Lonchura striata: one gene and its partners. The protein of the gene in region 2 interacts with the protein of the main gene of each other region in a biochemical or structural test. Links are inferred from orthologs where the notes say so. Each region holds a gene or a part of one and is shown on either strand. Other genes may lie near its edges. The genes, in order: BCL11B, NR2F1 and BCL11A.

Evidence for each region.
Region 1: the proteins of NR2F1 (region 2) and BCL11B form a complex in vitro, tested with the Homo sapiens proteins (2 studies listed by BioGRID). The link is inferred for Lonchura striata from reciprocal best matches to the Homo sapiens genes NR2F1 and BCL11B.
Region 3: the proteins of NR2F1 (region 2) and BCL11A form a complex in vitro, tested with the Homo sapiens proteins (2 studies listed by BioGRID). The link is inferred for Lonchura striata from reciprocal best matches to the Homo sapiens genes NR2F1 and BCL11A.

Annotation. Positions count from the first base shown.
Region 1 is NC_134608.1:12,724,455-12,728,196, reverse strand, and holds the start of BCL11B (B-cell lymphoma/leukemia 11B), read right to left. Parts: upstream 2,211-3,742; 5' UTR 1,771-2,210; coding exon 1,713-1,770; intron 1-1,712. UniProt on the Homo sapiens protein: Key regulator of both differentiation and survival of T-lymphocytes during thymocyte development in mammals.
Region 2 is NC_134642.1:68,476,070-68,479,811, forward strand, and holds the start of NR2F1 (COUP transcription factor 1), read left to right. Parts: upstream 1-1,322; 5' UTR 1,323-1,391; coding exon 1,392-1,842; intron 1,843-2,042; exon of another isoform or gene 2,043-3,742. UniProt on the Homo sapiens protein: Coup (chicken ovalbumin upstream promoter) transcription factor binds to the ovalbumin promoter and, in conjunction with another protein (S300-II) stimulates initiation of transcription. Binds to both direct repeats and palindromes of the 5'-AGGTCA-3' motif.
Region 3 is NC_134605.1:25,460,002-25,463,743, forward strand, and holds the start of BCL11A (BCL11 transcription factor A), read left to right. Parts: upstream 1-853; 5' UTR 854-887; coding exon 888-1,224; intron 1,225-3,742. UniProt on the Homo sapiens protein: Transcription factor. Associated with the BAF SWI/SNF chromatin remodeling complex. Binds to the 5'-TGACCA-3' sequence motif in regulatory regions of target genes, including a distal promoter of the HBG1 hemoglobin subunit gamma-1 gene.

The DNA of each region.
Region 1 (3,742 bases), on a different chromosome or scaffold from region 2:
CACATATATATCTCGAGTCCCAAGGAAATCTAACAAACAGAAATTTATCACCGGTAACAAAGAAAGAGAAGAGCTCGCAAGCACCAAATGCTCCTGGCAGATGGCTCCTATTCTTGGCTTTCAGGGGAGGGGAGAGAAGCCGGGGAAATATTTTATTTATTTATTTAAATTTTTTAAAATCTCAACATAAATATTCGGATCCGCCGCGGCTCAGGCTCAGCCCCGGGCTGGCTCCGTGCGAGCCGCCGCCCCCCGCAGCACAACAACTTGCGGACTCGTTTTGCGGGGCGGGGGGGGGGGCAGGGGTCCGACCGGGCTTGTCGGGTGCGGGGCCACGGCGTGCCGGGCATTTTTTTTACCACCCCCCAAACTTGTCCTATGCTATAGGAGGGAGATGGGGACCCCCCTGACCTCCCCCTTCCCCGTGCCCCGGAGGCGTGGGAGCAGCGGGGAGCGCTGGGGGCCGCACGCCCCCGGAGGCGCCCCCACATCTCCCCCCCGCCTCGCTGCACAGGCCCCGGGGGCCGGGAGCGGCGGAGCAGCGGAGTGGGGCGCCCGCTCGGGGACCTGCCCCCTACTCTGCCTGCAGGCACTCGCCCCTCTCCCGGAGCTTTAGGGGTGGGAACGGGGAGGAGGGGGATTCTGATGCTGGGGGGAGGGGGGATGCCTCTTTCCCTCCCCCCCCCCCTCTATTTTTTCCTTCCCTATTTTTTTTTTTGGGGGGAGGGCGTAGGGGGGGCGGGAGGGAGTATATGTGTGTATTTTCACTTACAATGGGAGCTTCAGCAAAGTGCTGCCTCCACTCCTGCCCCGCAGGCGAGCCGGTGCCGCTGCCCGACCCGCATTTCGTGCACTCCATCCCCGGTCCCCGCCTCGGCTTTCCTCGCGCCCCCCGCCACCGACAGACACTCCAGCCCGCACCCGGCTCCTCGGCAGCCCCTGCCCTGCCTCTAGCCCCAGCCGAGCTGGTCCTGCCTTGCCCCGCGCTTCGGAGAGTTCTTTTCCCCCGCCGGCGATGCACCTGGGGCGGGCAGGGCGCAGCTGGCCGTCTACCTGCCCCGCGCTCCGGGGCCGGGGCTCGGCCCCGCCGCCGCCGGCCCACAGCCTCCATGTGCTTCCCGCTAAGTCCCCCCGGCCGTTCCGCGTCTCCCTCCCTTGCTGCCCACCTTGATCCTCCTTCCCCCACCCTCCGCGGCTGTCACGCCGAGGCAAGGCTCTCGGCCAACTTTTCCCACCGCTCCGTGTTACCCCCGGAGCAAGGAGCGAGGAGCGGGGCCGCGGGCGAGCGGCGGAGCCCCGGCGGGGCCCGGGGTGGCCCGGCCCGGCGCGGAGCAGCGCGCCCCGCTCCGCCGCCCCCCGCGCACGCAGCCGCTGCCCGGGAGAGCCCCGCGCCGCCCCACGCCGCGCTCTGCCCGCCGGCAGCTCCTTCCCCGCTCCACGCCGCCTGGCCGCCTCACCTCCGCACCGCTGCAAAAACGCACAGCAAACTTCGGGCTTCTCCCCCCCTCCACCCCCAGCCCATCCCCCCCGCCGCACACCCCCCTCCCCTCTTTAATTCCCTTCTCCTCTCCCTCTCTCTGAAGTCATTTACCAGCTTTGGTTGCTCCTGGAGTTTCCCCCACACACACACCCCCCCTTCCCCAACCGCTTCCTCCCCTTCCCTAATTTTGCTTCTCGATTTCGGCTCGTTCTGGTTCCAAGTTCAAACTTACGTGTGATAATCTCTCTTTGTGACAAGTGCTGCGGGTTTCCCTGCTTGCGACGGGACATTGCCCTGGCATTTACACTGGCATCGCCTGGAGAGCTGCACTGGTTTGGGGGGATGTGCTGGGGGGCCGATCCTCCTCCTCCTTTTTTCCCCTCTTTATTCTTCTTCTTCTTTATCGAGTTCTTCTTTCAAAAAAATCAAAAACGAAAAAAAAAAAAACCGCCTCCTTTTTGTTGCTGCTGTGGTGCACTGGTTGGGATTCCCTCTCAATTAAAAATCATCATCATCAGGAAAAGCTCTTTCTCGCTCTTTTTCTCTTTCACACACTGTCTTTTCTCCACTGCTTCTGCCACTTGGACTTCCAGATCTCTTCTTGAACTTAGGAGGATGTGCACCGCCAGTGACACTTTTCTCTTTCCCTCTTTCCAGAGTGCTTGGCAAATTGGCAAGTTCGCTTTTCCACCAAGAGGGTAAAAAAAAAAAAAAAAAAAAAGAAAAAGAAAAAAAAGAAAAAAAATTTAAAAAACTGTATTAAAAAAAAGAAGAAGAAAAGTACTAGAATTGGGATAGCCCCCACTAAAAAAAAAAATCGCCAAAAAAAAATGTTTCTCAGAGATTGACCCTTGCTGGGTAGATATACAGAGAGAATTTTTTTAAAAGGGGTAGCCGAAACTGTGTCTCCTCTTTCCCAGTTCAAGTGGCACTGCTTTGCCCTGGTGCTTTTGGATTGCCAGTGCTCCTGCACCACTTTGCACTCTTCCCCCCTCGCCTGGCACTGGGACTGGAAGGAAGGAAGCCCCCAGTGCAGCTGGGCTGGTGCTGGCTATTACTATTATATATTGCAATGTGAAGATGGCGGAGTCCTGGTTCTCTGGGAGCGCTCTGTCTCTCTATGGCTGGGGCTGCCTCTGTACAATGGGATAAAATTCAAGTTCAAGTGCGGACGTGACGTTTAATCTGCACTAGAGACAAAAAGACCCAGAGAGTAGGAGCACTGGGGGCGACTAGCGGTGGCTTTTTAACATTGTACCCTGCAAGAGAACAAGAAACGCCACTCGCACACACCGCACACACCGCACACGCACACACACCGCACACACACCAACTACGGCACACGCAGGGCTCGCCGCCGCTCCGGGCTTTGTGCAGCGCCGCTTTCAGCGCGCGGAGCGCCGGCGGCCAGGGAAAGAGAGGGGGGAAGGAATAAATCCGCATCCTCACGCACGGCCAAACTTCCTGAGCCCGGCGCCGGCCGCGGCGGGGGCGGCTCGGCCGGGGGAGGGTGCCGGGGTCCGCGGGGGGCGGCGGCGGCGCTGCCCGCCCGTGCCGCCGCCTCGCCGCCGCTCATCGCGGCCGCCGCTCTCCGCCGCCCGGGCTCGGCGCTGGGTCCTGCTCCCTCCGTCCCTGCCCAGGAGCGGAGGCTCCCCAGGGGTCGCAGGCTGTTCTTCCTTCCCTCCAGGCACCGCCGCAGCTCCTCGGCGGCGAGCGCGTTCCCCCTGCATTTCTTTCAAACAGTTTTACAACAACACAAATATCTGTGTGGGCTGGGGAAAGGGATTTTTCCCCCTCCTCTCTCCCTACCCGAAGTGCGATGGTAGCGGGACACGCGCGCACACTCGATCCGCACACGCACACACGCTCCGACCTTCTCCCACCCCCCAACCCCCCTTCCCTTAAAATCCTGGCAGAGACTATTTTTCCTTGGAGAAATTAAGTCTCAGCCACGAACGGAGAGACGCCGAGCTCCCAGAAGCTGCATCCCAGTGCACTTGTCCTCCTATTTCACACGCAGGTAAATGCCCACAACTGCGTGCATTTCTAACTTGGAAGATTCTTGGAAGCCAACTTTTTCCCCTCTACCTCCGTTCTCCCGGTCCATCTCCAGAAATTGTTTTCTCTCTCCCTCCTCCCCCGATAAGTAAACAGTTCGGTGCAAATAGCTTTTCAGCACCAGGTCTGGCCAGGGCGAGAGGAACGGGGTAGAGGGGAGGCCTGAGGGCTCGGAGGCAGATGGAGCAGAAAACCAAAGAACCA
Region 2 (3,742 bases):
CAGTATCGTGCGCTCTCACAGAAGAACACCGAAACGGCAAGAAAGAGAAGAGGATTTATTTACCGACCTACTTTGGATCTCTCTTTTTCCTGCAAGTGTCGTTATTATTCCCGTTCTCTATTTTTACACTTCGCCGTGAATTCGTCTCCTCTGCGAATTTAGTCACATCCGATTTTTTTTCTGCGATTTAAAAAAAAAAAAAAAAAAAAAAAAAAAAAAAAAAAAAAGGCGAGAGAGAGCGCGAGCGAGCGAGAGAGACAGAGAGCGAGAGAGAGCAGCTCGGGAGAGAAAGAGCAGCGACCGGCAACCTCCTCCTCCTCCTTCCCTGCCGCCGCGACAGGAGATCAAACTGCCTCAGCTCCCTGCCCGCCTCCGCCGAGCTCCCCGGCTCCACCGCCCTGAATGGCTGACGGCGCACTGCCCTGGACCTGGCCCCCGGACACCTCCATACTCTGATCGCCGACGAGCGGCTCCTCTCTCGACCTCCCGCCTCCCCGAGAGCCCACACCGGCACCGGCGGCAGCGACAGCGGCAGCAGCCTCCGCGGGAGCGGCGGCGGCCGAGCCCCGGCGGCGACGAGCGGCGAGCGGCGACCTCCTCCTCCTCCTCTTCCTTCCCCTCCTCCTCCTCCACCTCCTCCTCCTTTTCCTCCTCCTCCTCCTCGGCGGCGCCGCGGCTTCCTCTATGCCTGCACATCCTCCGCGCTCGTAGCGCCCGGACCGCGTGTGCCTGTGCCCGTGCGTGTGTGCGTGTGCGCGAGTGGGGAGCCGTGTGCCGGGCATCTGCGCGCGTGTCTGCCTGCGTGTGCGTGTCCGGCGTGTTACTCTCCTGAATGCCTCTCCCGACAGCCTTGTTTGCCGTTTCTGATTTTGCAACTTGAAGTGGCGGCGGGGGGGGGGGGGGGGGGGGGGAGGGCGAGGAGAGGCAGTGAGAGCCGGGGAGAGCGGGAGCAGAGGGGAGAAGCGGTCAGGCGGGGGTATTTTAAAGAGGGGGGAGCGCTGGAAAGGGCAGGGAAGGAAAGGAAAGGAAAAGGAAGGGAGGAAAAGGAAAGGAAAGGGGGGGGGAAGAGAGAAAGAGAAAATCCTCCGTCGCCCCCTCCCCCTCTCTAAAAAAAAAATTAGCAAGAGCGCGAGCGAGAGGAGGGGGGCTCTCGGCGGCGAAAAATAAATAAAATAAAGAAAACGGCAGGAGCGGCTCCAGCCGGCAGCAGCGGCGGCGGCAGCAGGGCAGCGGCGGAGGCAGCAGAGGCGGAGGCAGGCGGCAGCAAGGGTCCCCTCGCTCTCCGCTCGCCCCCGGCGCCCGGGCGGCCGCCACCCCCCCGCCCCCCGCCTCACTCCCCGGCAGCCCGCAGCGAGACGCGCCGCTCCCCAGCACTTTTTTGGGCCCGAGATATGGCAATGGTAGTTAGCAGCTGGCGAGATCCGCAGGAAGACGTGGCCGGGGGCACTCCGAGCGGCCCCAACCCGGCCGCGACGCAGCCGGCCCGGGAGCAGCAGCCCCAGCAGCAGGGGAGTTCGGCCACCCCACACACCCCGCAGACCCCCAGCCAGCCGGGACCCCCCTCCACGCCGGGCACGGCCGGAGACAAGGGAGCGGGCCAGCAGGGCTCGGGGCAGAGCCAGCAGCACATCGAATGCGTGGTGTGCGGAGACAAGTCCAGCGGCAAGCACTACGGCCAGTTCACCTGCGAGGGCTGCAAAAGTTTCTTCAAGAGGAGCGTCCGCAGGAACTTAACTTACACATGCCGCGCCAACAGGAACTGTCCCATCGACCAGCACCACCGCAACCAGTGCCAGTACTGCCGCCTCAAGAAGTGCCTCAAAGTGGGCATGAGGCGGGAAGGTGAATATTTCTTCACTACTATGCTATCGCTCCCCTCTCCCCTTGGCTGTGCAGGCGTGCGTGTGCGAGGGCTCTCCGTCTGTCTGTGTCTGCCTGTCCGTACGCGCACACACGCGCACCTATATGCATATACATATAGCTATACACACACGCGCGCGCGCACACGCGCGGCGTGCAAACACACACACATATAAATATAAATATGTAAAAATAAATACACACACACATATATATATATGTGCATATATATATATATATATATATATATATATATTTACAGCTCTCCGTAGCAATCCAGCCAGGACTCTCTATATATTTCCATGCACATGTCAATCTCTTCCTCTGCCTGCACTCCATCTGGCAGCTTTGCACCAGGTTCTGTTGTTATTGTCGATGGTGGTTGGTGGTGTTTTCTTTTGCTTTTCGGTGTGTGCCTCCTGCCCTCCCTCCCGCTCCTCCCCACCCCCTTCTACAGCACTGCCACACTCTCCCCTTTCCTGATAATTGTGCAGAGAATTTATTATTATTATTATTATTACTACTATTATTACAATCGCTTGCTAAATATTTATCATTTAGCCGCTATCCCCACTTCCCCCTGCTCGCGCGTGTATGCGTGTGTGCGTGTGCGTGTTTTAGATGTGGTTTTGTCTATTGTTGGCATGAGACCGGAGGGTGGGGGGAGATACATCTTTCTCCCGTACGAGATGTGACTCCATTCAGCTTCCTTCCCCCTCACCCCCTCCCCACCCCCTTTCCACCCCATCATTTCTTTTTAAACCTGCAATACCTCTCGGTATTTGAGATTCATCTCTCAGGCTCATTTTACCCGAAAGAAAGATGAAAGACTTGTAATTAAAGAAAGAGGAAAGGGTGTGAAAAAGATAGAAGGGAGAAAAGGGAAAAAAAAAAAAAAAAAGAAAAGGGGAGGAAATGTGCTACTCTGTCTTCGCTTCCATGTGCTTCCCGGTGCCCAGGAGTGTGCTTCTGTGAGAGATTTGGCCTTGTTTTCATTCCATGCATTCAAAGGAAAGTTTGTGACTGAACCGTGTTTCTGTACTTCTGTCATTTTTTTTTTTTTTTAAGTGCGCTGCTCATTTTATTTCTGCATCAAACTCCACCCTCTCCTTAAAGTCTTCATACAAATCTCGATTTATAACCTCTTTACCGGTTCTTCTCATTTTAGCAGCATCCGCAGCCTGCATCTGGCACGGGGTCCCCACTATTTCCAAGCGCTCTGCTGATTTTTTTTCTCCTTCTTTCCAAAAGTTGTCTGTGGTTTTCCTTGCGTTCAGACTCATCCTCGTGTAGGGAGAATTGCTGCCCTCCTTTCTCCTTGAAACATGTTCTCTCGGTTTAAAGTTTACCCTGTGACTGTCGTTAAAGATGTTCTAAAGATGTCACGTCAGCAAAATAGGTGATTTTGCAGAGCAGGGATTTTAAAACTGTATTTTATATGCCACGGAAAAAGAATTTGAATTAGGCTGCTCCAGATCTGAAAGAGCTCACAAATATGATGGCTTCATTGGTAGTTGCAGGGGCTGTTGGTAGGCACCTAGGAGAGTGGAGGCAAGCAAATTTTTTTTTAAAGGAAGGAGAAAAAATTAAAAAAAAAAGTGAGAATTATGCATGCAGTTAAATGAAAAATATCTGCCAAGTTTACAAGTAGATTGAAGAGGGAGAGGTAGGCTGAAGGGCAGCAGGACAGAGATCTGGCCCGGGTGGGAGGAGGGCTCGTCGGGGAAGAAAAGAGAAAGTTGAGAAAAATGTGGCGCGCCGGAAACATGAGTGATTGCATGTGCGGGTGTGTGCCTGCAAACGTGTGCGGTTGTGCGGGGTGTCTGTGTGTGCAGGGTACAAGCCTGAGTAGCCGTATCTTCCCCTGAAGTTACATTTGTTT
Region 3 (3,742 bases), on a different chromosome or scaffold from region 2:
TCACGTAAGTAACCCGGAGAGCAATTTATTTAATTTACCCTACACTGATTTAATTTTTAATTCGAGAGAGAGAGTAGGGAAAAAAAATTAAAAGTGAGAGCCATTGAGCGAGTCGGGGAAAAAATTAACTCAGCGCCGGCTCGGGATTCTCAGCATTCCGGGCAATTTCTGCCTCTCTAATTTAATCACCTTGATGACTTTTCTTCTTTTTCTGCCCGTGCCCCTCGCCCGCCGGCGCGCACTCCGCTGCCCCGCTCCACGCTCTCCTCTCGTCTCCCGCTCTCCGCGCTCTTTGGCGGCAAGAGCGGCAGCTCTCGCCCGGCACCAGGAAAGGCGCGGACGAGGTGCGGGGCTGCCGGGGGCACAACCGGCCGAAAGTGGGAAGAAATTCCTGCGGGAGCGGCGGGCTGGACGCCGGACACGGCGGTGGCCGGGCGGGCGGGATGGGCGGCGAGCGGAGCGCGGAGAAAGTCCGGCGGCCGGAGCCCCCCCGACTGCCGGCGGGGTCGCCCCCTCGCCCCGCGGCTCCCTCCTGGCGGGGGGGGAGGCAAAGCCGAGCCAAGCGGGGACGCCTCCCTTTTGTTTCCGCCGCGGGGTGCGGGGTGGCCGTCCCGCCGCTCCCCGCCGCCTCGGGCCGGCGCCGTGCGGGGCTCCGTCGCCCCGACCTCGCCCCGCGCCCGCCCCGCCGCCGCTCCGGCTGGGGCTGGGGCGGGGGACGGCACCGGGCGGCGAGGGAGCCGAGCCGAGCCGCGCCGCGCCGGCTGGGATTCCCTCCTCGCCCTCGCCTCGCGTTCTCCCTCTCGCTTACTATTTTTTGGAAGATTTTCAAAAAAAAAAAAAAAAAAAAAGTGGAAGTGGATTTTGATTGGGAAAAATCTCGTGTCTGAATGTTTACAAGCACCGCGTGTGCGGGGAGCCTCCTGCCAACAAACACAGGCGAGAGCGAGCCCGGGCTGAGCACACACGCGCGCTCACACGCACACACACACACTCGCACCCTCACACCCGCGAACGGCCCTTTCTCGCCGCCGCATTTCAACCCCAAACCAAATGCGCTCTCCCCGGGAGTGAAAAAACAAACCCCGAGCCCCACCACACCGTTCGCAACAAAAACTCTCCGGCTCCCTCCGTCCCTCCCTCCAGCCGCCGCCACACACACCAGGGCTAGATGCAAGATAAGCGGGAGCGCTCTTTTCACAACAAAAGGCAACTCGAGCTGGAAAGGTTTGGGGCGAGGGGGGTGGGAAGGAAGGGCGAAAAAAAAATATCCCCTTTTCCTCGGGGTGAACCTGGGGGAAGGGGAAATGCTGCATGTTTTTCCTCACTCCTTTCCTCCCCTTTTCTTTATTTCTTCCTTTCTCCCTCTCCCATTAGTCCCGACGGGTTTTGTTCCCTCCCAGGGATGGCAGAAGACCCAGGGCCATTTCTTCCTGCCAACCATCCCCGGCTCCCTCGGCCCTTCGCAAAGCCCCCCAAACTTTCCGCCGCGGGTTCTCTTCCCCCACGGCCGCCCAAACATTGCAGTCAGGTTCGCACATGGAGGGAAGGAAGCAGCGCTGGCTCTTTGCAGGCGTCCGCTCCGCCGCGAGCAGGGCCGCCCGGGGGCTCTGAGTGCCCAAAGTCTGCCCTAAGAACCCGGGGGGTGTCGGGGGCTCAGCCCCTCCCCCCGCCGTCTCTTTCTCCTCATACTTTTCGGAAAGCCTTTTTTTTCCGCCTCTTTTTTTTTTTTTTTTTTTTTTTTTCATTGCCGGGCTAGGGATGGGGCGCAGCATCGCTGGCATATGGGCATGCCTCCCCCCCCGCCCCCGGAAATGGGGTACGGGGGTGCTTTTCCCGGGCAGTCGTGGAAGTGGGATGCGGGGAACGGGGATCGCGGCGGGACTGGAGGAGGGGGTGGGGGGCTCAGGCTCGGCCCCCGGGGCAGCGGCGACGGGCGGGATCCCGCGGCCGGTTCTCGCCGCCGACAGACCCGCGGGCCGGCGCGGAGTGCGCGCACGTGCGGGCCAGGAGCGGCGGCCGGGACAGGCCCGGGGGGTTCCTCCGGCGAGAGCCGCCCCGGCGATGGGGAGGGGGGTGTGGGTGGGCCGGGAGCTGGGGGGGGGAAAGGGAGGCCGGGCCGAGGGAGCGGCGCGCCAGGGATGCGGCGGCGGGGCCGGGGCCGGGGCTGGGGCCGGGGCGGAGGCGGCGGGCGGGATCCGTGCCCGCTTCGGTCGCTAGGAGGCACAGCGAGATCAAACAACCGGGCAGCCCCGCGAACTTGAACCTGGCCGGCTCCTCCGCTGCCTCCCGGCCGGCGGGAGGGGGAGGGCGCCCAGCTCCCTCCCATCCACCCCCCCACCCCCCCACGCCCCTCTTCCCTCTTCTTTGTTCTTAATTTGCGCGGAGTTTGCTTGCTCCGGGATGTAGCGGGGATGCTCGCCTTCCCCCTCCCCGGGTTTCCCCTCCCTCCCCATAACGTGTTGGCGGTTCCTATTGTGCCCCCAAGTCTCCCTTTCCTCGCACCGCTGTGATCCGAAGACACAAACTTGGGATTAAACAGCCCTTCTCCATCCTTCCCACGGTACGGTGCAGGAAAATGCCCCAGCAGCGCATCTGCATTGCCCCGCGGGCATTTCTCCTCACCGTACTGTGGCACCCCCCTCCCCGCCCCATCACCCCCAGTACCTCCTTTCTCCCGGCACTCCAAAATCCATCCCTCTTTTGCCGGTGCGGTTGTTCTGGTGGCTGGGAACAGGGAAAAAAAGGGGGGAGTAGGAGGGCGAAGGGGGAAAGCTGAAAAGACATGTTGGTGGAAGGGCAATTTGCATGAAAAATAGAGACGGATGATTAGGGACCCAGCCAGAGAATTTTGATTGCCCCAGAATTAAAAGATGCATCCTGCAAATCGGAGGCAAAACCAGGTGAAATCTGGTGTTTTTTTCGTAATCCCGGTATTTTATATTATGTTCTAAAAGTAGCAGTAATAATAAAAAGCATTTTTTTTTCTGGCTCTGCCTCCATCGGGAGCCAAATGTTTTGCAGCGAACACAGTGCCAGCCGTATTTCATACTTTGGTATATAATTCTTGTTAATTAGCAATAATTTACGTTAAGAGCATAGAAAATGTTGAGGTTACAGGTTTTATATCTGTACATTTGATCATCTTGTTATTTTCAAGAACTTTGCCTCCTATAAAATTAATTAGGTGAAATGTGGAGGTGTAATCAGCAACCTCTGAATTACCACTTCATTTCCTGGTTTTGATTGTAAATCAGCCCAGTCCGTACAGACTTTTAGCAAAGTCTTTTTTCGCTCAGTGCCACTTTTAACTGTCTGGTGTCGAAGCAGCGGGTTACCTTCCCCTGCTAAATAATAATGACAGCGTCAGAAAGGAATCAGGAAAACATTATAATTGAGTAATGATTATGCAGAGCTCCTCACTAAGCCAGTTGCAAGGGGAGCACGGGTGGTTTTGTGTCGTTTTGCTGCGAAGAGTCGGTGAGATCGAAGTTAGATTTGCAAAATACCTTTGTCTGCGGCGAGCAGCGAGCTACCGGTGGAATTAGACCTGAAATAATTTATTCCCTCGGTCCGAACGCAAGGATCGGCTTAGGGAGAAAAACGCCATGCCCGGCAATCCCTCAGAAACACCCCGCTCCTCTGCCGGCTTCCCGAGGAGCATGAGACGCACGTTGTGCCTCCTCTCCTGTTGGTCTGTAAGTTTAGAAGAAAGCCCTAGCGATTAAGACATTGTTTTTATTAA